2 linked regions of the Nothobranchius furzeri genome follow. The protein of the gene in region 1 purifies or fractionates together with the protein of each later gene. This does not show direct contact. Links are inferred from orthologs where the notes say so. Each region holds a gene or a part of one and is shown in the gene's direction. Other genes may lie near its edges. The genes, in order: rapgef1b and crkl.

What was found.
Region 2: the proteins of rapgef1b (region 1) and crkl purify together in Homo sapiens (affinity purification with western blotting; 16 studies listed by BioGRID and IntAct, with this or other methods). This does not show direct contact. The link is inferred for Nothobranchius furzeri from reciprocal best matches to the Homo sapiens genes RAPGEF1 and CRKL.

The regions. Positions count from the first base shown.
Region 1 is NC_091746.1:61,309,210-61,313,034, reverse strand, and holds the end of rapgef1b (rap guanine nucleotide exchange factor 1b), read left to right. Parts: intron 1-2,206; coding exon 2,207-2,291; intron 2,292-2,377; coding exon 2,378-2,472; intron 2,473-2,576; coding exon 2,577-2,655; intron 2,656-2,727; coding exon 2,728-2,829; intron 2,830-2,908; coding exon 2,909-3,006; intron 3,007-3,086; coding exon 3,087-3,215; intron 3,216-3,362; coding exon 3,363-3,513; 3' UTR 3,514-3,740; downstream 3,741-3,825. UniProt on the Homo sapiens protein: Guanine nucleotide-releasing protein that binds to SH3 domain of CRK and GRB2/ASH. Transduces signals from CRK to activate RAS. Involved in cell branching and adhesion mediated by BCAR1-CRK-RAPGEF1 signaling and activation of RAP1.
Region 2 is NC_091746.1:46,868,691-46,871,988, reverse strand, and holds the end of crkl (crk-like protein), read left to right. Parts: intron 1-665; coding exon 666-800; 3' UTR 801-2,557; downstream 2,558-3,298. UniProt on the Homo sapiens protein: May mediate the transduction of intracellular signals.

The DNA.
Region 1 (3,825 bases):
CTCTGGACAGCAGGGGCTTAATTCTGGCTAGGCGGCGTAAGTTAAAAAAACACGATCGCACAACCTGGTTGAGTTGCGCGTCGAATTTAAGGGCTGAGTTCAGTTGCACTCCCAAATTTCAGATGGTGGTCTTCATGTTGGATGCTAAAGGGCCCAGATTCACAGCATCGCATGGGCATGTAGACATGCCAGGGCTAAGTGCAATTACTTCAGTCTTAGCGTCATTCAGATGTAAAAAGTTTGTAGCCATTCAGGAGCGCACATCCTCTAAGGCATCTACAAGCTTTGATATTGACCCATCGACCCCCCGCTGAAGGGGGAGGTAGATCGGACAGTCATCAGCATAAAAATGAAAACGTATGCCGAACCGCCGAAGAAGATTCCCCAACGGTAGTAAGTAGATGGCAAAAAGAAGCGGACCCAGTACAGACCCCTGTGGCACACCCCACTTGAGGCCCGCCCAGGTTGAGGAGGTTTCACCTACACTGACACAAGAATAGGACATAAGAATATCATGTAAAAATATGTTTAAAAATCAATCTCATAGGATTTAAGTGAGAAGCATCCATTTAGGGCCATCTGGTGGACAGATAATGGTTTACATCACTTAGATGGATTTTTTTTTCTTTCTTTTTTCATTCAAAATAAAAACAAATAAAACATATAAACAATAAGAAGTACATAACAAAAAATCAAATTTGAACGAAAAGGAGCAGAATGAAGAAAAACATTTCTGCCCCTTTTCCAGAAAAAATAATCAATTTATATACAATTTCCATTTGTCAGACACACGTACAGATTCATTTTAAACTTTTTCCTGTTCTAAATTCCAGTGCGATCATGATCATTAATTTAATTTACATTTTCATAATTATTTAGTACACTCAATTTGGTACATTTTTTGAATATATTAAATGACAGGGTTTTTTTAAATTTCCCTTTTAAGGTTATTCCATAATTTAACACCTTTTACAGATATATTCCATTCCTTAATTTTAGTTCTAAATCTTGGTTTTGTAAACACATCAGTTTCTTTCAGCATGCAATTACTAGTTCTCTTTTCAAATATCCCCTGAATGTTTGTTGGCAGAATACCTAAATTGGCTTTATACATGGTTTGTAAAATTTTCTAGTCTTTTAAATCATGAAATTTCAGTAATTTATATTTAATAAACAATGGGTTCGATGGATCTCTACAGCCACTATAATTGATGATTCTCGGAGCTCTTTTCTGTAAAATAAATAAGGGTTGTGTATAGTTTTTGTATGTTGCTCCCCAGATTTCTACACAATAAGTCAAGTGTGGAGAAATCAGTGAATTGTACAATGCCAACAAACCAGAATTAGTCAGTAAAAACTTGACTCTATGTAATACTCCTAAGGATTTGGCAATTTTACCTTTTATGTAACTAATATGGGATTTCCATGTCGAGTCTTCATCAATAAGAACTCCAAGAAATTTAGTTTCTTTTACTCTTTGAATTTCAATCTCACCTATTTCCAATAATACATCACTGTTCTTTTTATTATTAAACAGTATAAAATTTGTTTTATTAAGATTCAGTGTCAATCAATTTTTATCAAACCAGTTTTTAATTTTAATCAGTTCATCATTTATCACTTTAGCCACCTCCTCAATATTGATCCCGAAAATGTAAATTAAATCAATGATCATGATCGCACTGCTCCCCGAGTAAAACAGTGTTGTATCATCTGCAAATAGAATGGTACAGAGTGTCTTAGATACATTTACCAAGTCGTTAATAAACAAAATGAACAGTTTGGTCCAAGGACCGACCCTTGTGGCACTCCACAATTATTTTCACATATTTTTGATTTATAGTCCTTTATCTGAACAAACTGTTTCCTTTTTTCTAAATAAGTTTTTACCCATTGATGAGCCAAACCTCTTATTCCATACTGATTTAATTTTCGAAGTAACCTTGAGTGATCAGTGGTGTCAAATGCTTTTTTCATATCAATGAAAACACTAACAGTCATTTTTATTGCCAATTGCTGTTGATATTTTATCCGTTAATTCCATTATTGCCATTGCTGTGGAATGTTAGATGGATTTAAAAATATCTAAAAATCTAAAAATACACAATGAACATTATAAGTAATTTCCTAATCAAACTGAAATCATATTTTGTTCCATATCAAATCCAGAGAGAATACCTGAAGTTGAATGTTTGTGTTTTAACAGACCTGGAACTCTTCATGACTTCCGCAGTCATGAGATCGCTGATCAGCTCACTCTTCTTGATGCTGAGCTGTTCTACAAAATTGAGGTACTGTTTCCCCCTCTTGCCAGCTGATTATTTTAACACCGAGCTCTGCTGAAGCTGAAGTTTCCCTCAACTCTTCTCTCGTTTAGATTCCAGAGGTTCTGCTTTGGGCGAAGGAGCAGAATGAGGAGAAGAGTCCGAACCTGACTCAGTTTACAGAGCACTTTAATAACATGAGCTATTGGTTAGAGCAAAAGTCATGATTAAACGCTTGACTCATCATCCTTTTTTTTTATTACTGGAACTTCAGAAACGCTGATGCCTTACTGCTGTTTCTCTCTCCAACAGGGTCCGATCTTTGATCATTCAGCAGGAAAAAGCCCAAGACAGAGAGAAGCTGCTTCTCAAGTTCATTAAGATAATGAAGGTAGCTTCATTTTTTTAGGAATCACTTATGTCATTTTTATTGCATTTAACAGATTTCTTTACTTTATTGCAGCACTTAAGAAAGTTGAATAATTTTAACTCCTATTTGGCAATACTGTCCGCCCTGGACTCGGCCCCCATCCGGAGATTGGAGTGGCAGAAGCAGACCTCAGAGGTGAGAGGACTTTTTGCTCCGGAGATGTCATTTTTTTCATGCTGGTTACCTTCTCTAACATTTTTTTTATTTTTTTAAGGGACTGGAGGAGTATTGCACGCTGATTGACAGCTCTTCATCCTTCAGAGCATACAGAGCTGCTCTGGCCGAGGTGGAGCCTCCATGCATCCCGTACCTGTGAGTAAATCTGTCTGGACCATTAGAGGTCCACTGCTCAAGTATGACTTGACAATAATTGATTTTGCCTGTCATTGCAGAGGTCTCATTCTGCAGGACCTGACCTTTGTGCACCTGGGAAACCCTGACCTCATTGATGGAAAGGTCAATTTCTCCAAACGCTGGCAGCAGTTCAACATTCTGGACAGTATGCGGCGCTTTCAGCAAGTGTAAGACCTTCAGAAAAACTTTAGTGGAACTTGTGCCAAACTTTGCAAAAACAATCTACTTTATAAACTTTCAATGTAAAAGAAACATCAGTTTTGTCTCTTCTCCATTCTTCAAGCTATTTTTTCTTTGTTTTCGTCATTTTTCAGGCATTATGAGCTGAAACGCAACGAAGACATAATCTCCTTCTTCAACGACTTCAGCGACCACCTAGCCGAAGAGGCCCTGTGGGAGCTCTCGCTCAAAATTAAGCCTCGGAACATCACCAGGCGCAAGACAGACCGTGAGGAGAAGACCTAGGAGCCCGCGCGGGCCTCAGACTCTGACCTCCAACTGTGCTTCATGACACTAACTCTACTTCACTACAAACTTGAGAGAAAGACTAATAGAAGCTATCCACTGAAGCAAACAGGGGACTGGTTGTGGGGAACTCTGAACAAACGACTGAAGCGTCACTGAGGTTTACAAAGAGCCCTACCACTCTGGGAGATTCTAACTGGGATTAATGTTGCTCCATCACGGAGACAGGGAGAGATTAAGAAGACTGCATGAAACCAGGGAAGACAACCCGGTGCTGATGAGGAGAGGAATCAGAGCGGACAGGGAGACACT
Region 2 (3,298 bases), about 14 Mb from region 1:
TTGCCACCGTCGCCCCACTGAGACATGAAAATTCTTGGTAAATAAAAAACCTGGTCTGAATACTTAGGACCATGTGATATTTCAGTTTTTCATTTTTAATAAATCTGCTTAAATTCTTTAAATTATTTGTTTTTCGGTCAATATGATGTGCTGTTTGTAATTAATGAGGAAAAAATGGCAGAGGATCCCCAAACCCAGGTGTAAGAAACTTGTTGCATCGTTACCAAGAAGACTCATGGCTGTATTAGCTCAACAGGGTGCTTCTACTAAATACTGAGCAAAGGGTCTGAATACATGTGATAGTTCAGTTTGTCTTTTTTAATAAATCTGCTTAAATGTCTAAAATTCTATTTGATTTTAGCAAATGTCTGCAATATAATAAAGAGTGAAAAATTGACGGGGGTCTGAATACTTTCTGTACCACTGTATATACTTTAATAGATAGTTGTTCTAAATGTTTTATTCCTCTGATGGTTCCCTTGCTAACAGCCTAGCAAACAAAACCTCTGTTGCTGGTGCTATTTGAAACGCAGTAACTCCTTTTTCTAGGTAACAACAGTTTGAAAATGTGTTTATTCCCGTCCCACTGAGATATCTTTGCTCCCCTTAAGCTTAGTTATATTTCTGTGTAAAATATTAATGAAATCTGTCTCTCCTTCCCTTAGGTCGGGGATATTGTTAATGTGACACGAATGAACATCAGCGGCCAGTGGGAAGGCGAAGTGAATGGACGAAGGGGTCTCTTCCCTTTCACCCATGTCAAAATTATAGATCCCCTGAATCCTGATGAGAGTGACTGACTCAGGAGTTGAGCTGAAGCCTCTCGACACGTACCTGAAGCAGCTGGCCGTGTCTGCCTCTCCCCAGCGGTGTCGCCATTATGTTCCTGCCTGCTTGGGGGCTGTGCTATGACGGTGACCCCATCTGTTCATGTTGCCAGCTGTGGCAAGGCTTTCTGACCGTTTACAGCTGTGGACACCAGAGCTCTACGAAAACATGAACTATTGTCCCTTAGTTCATTTTATCTTTCTGTCGTATTTACAGAGGGCAGTTTTGTTTTCCAGAACATCACTGGGCATCAGTCGTTTTTGCATGTAAAAGTGTGCGCACGTGCGTGATATGTCTTTTTTTTCTCTCTCTCCCCCTGAACATTTGTCTTGTCAGAAGTCTTGGAGAGTGTGTGTGTGTGTGTGTGTGTGTGTGTGTGTGTGTGTGTGTGTGTGTGTGTGTGTGTGTGTGTGTGTGTGTGTGTGTGTGTGTGTGTGTGTGTGTGTGTGTGTGTGTGTGTGTGTGTGTGTGTGTGTGTGTGTGTGTGTGTGTTGCAAGGGAAAAGGCATTATCTGTGTAACCTTTAGAGCACTGGGCCAACGAGGAGCTGACCAGCCAGTAACCCCCCCCCCCCCCCCCCAAATCAAGACCCTGTTGTACCACACACGTTTGGCTGTGAGTTGATGAGTGACTGATTCATTTCTGTTTTAATTTATTTTTATCCGTAAAATCAAAAAGATTGAGAAGAAAAGGCATTTCTGCAGTTTTTTGCCATAATTTGCCACCATTTTTATGTCCTTGTGTTGATTCCATTGCTATCTTTGTTTGTGCCATCTGATCAAAAAATTGATTTTACTTATCTTGAAAACTTCAATGCCATACAGTACCTCTTTAAAATTAGTTAGACATTTTTTGGAGTTACTGTGACCAAAACCAACTTTGTCCCTCTAAGTGCCAAGCCTCTGCCTGGGTCATTAGTAATATGGTCAGCTTTTCCCTCCAGAAACGACTAAAGTCTAAAATGCTCCTTTTGGTGACGGGCGCCAGGGTAAGCGAGATGTTCAGCAAACCAATGAAATCCCACGAATGCCTTCTGAATAAGACTTCTGCTTTCAGTGCATGAGAGCCCATCTCAGACTGACTATTTTAAATGTTATTAAAAGCTCGGATTGTGCACGTCTTTCTTACTGTGCAACAACCAGCAGGACCTCAAGATTGAACAGAACTAACGTAAAATGTCTCTTCCCTCTCCATCTCTAATTTGTGTGCGTGTGTGTGGTCAGACTTGGCATTTAAATTGTGCTTTTAAAAGTTTTTTTGTGTACGTGTGTCTTTTAAAGTGACTTCCAAAAGGGAAAAATGCCTGCTGGTTGCCCTACGTGCATGATCTCTTGACCGAGGAAACGGTTCACCTGGACGAAAAGCTGCTTTTTGTTATATTTTATTGGATAAAAGTTTTAATTCTAGCTGGTATGCGTGGACATCCGAGTGGGTTTTTCATGTTAAAATTAATAAATTCTAATCGAGCAATACACGCTGATAGTTTCCTTACCTGAGGTGAACTTGCTTTTCTCTCGCTACCCAGTTATTTCATAAAGACATTAACAGTATTACGTGCTCTCGCCTCGTATTCTAGGAAAGCCTGTCCTTTACTTAAGAACTGAAAATTGTGCCTTTTTATTTTCTTATGCCATTTACATGTGTTAATATTTCCCATGGTTAACACCTGTGCTGGTATTGACCCTTTATGTACAGAACAATTAAATAAAAAGTATGTCTACTTCTTTAACCTGTGTGTTTCTGCTCTTGCCTATTAGCTTGTTTGTGCTGCACAGATGGGTGTCTGCAGCCATCCTCTGTTGTGTTTCTGGAGTGCAGGATGGTTGTATTTGCTCTCATTTTTGACAGTTCCAGTTTAGAGTGCCTGGGCCCAGGAGAAAGGAAGCAATTAATGAATTTTAATGAAGTGCTAAGAAAAGAACATCAGCTGACCCAGAGATGAAGAATGGCAAGTTTTTCAAGGGCAGAGTTTCAGTTGTTTGTCCGGGACAGATGTTAGCGATGTGCTGTAGGTTCTAGAAGTTTGTTACAAAAACCTCGCTAGTACGGAGTTGGACCCACTTTGTCTTCTGAACTGCCCTAATTTCTCACGATGTAGACTAAAGGAGAGATTCTAGACGCAGAGATTCTGGTCCTTGCTGCATCATTACACCGACAGCAGCATTATGCTTTGATGAGGCAGGATGGATTCATGCTTTTTAAACTAAATTCTGCAGCAACCATCTTGAAGTTGCAGCTGAAATGATACTCATTAGACCAGGAAATGTTTTTCCAGTGTTCAGTGGTCGGGTTTCGATGAACCTTTGTGAATCGTTGCCTGCGTTTTCTTCTAAGCTGACAGGAGTAGTGGTCTTCTGCTGCTTCAACGTGTGCTGTACTGTTGACCTCATCTTGAACTGGTGCCTATTTGAGCTGCTGGTGCCTTTCTCTCATACAGAACCAGTCTGCTCCCATTTGCTGTTCACTCTCT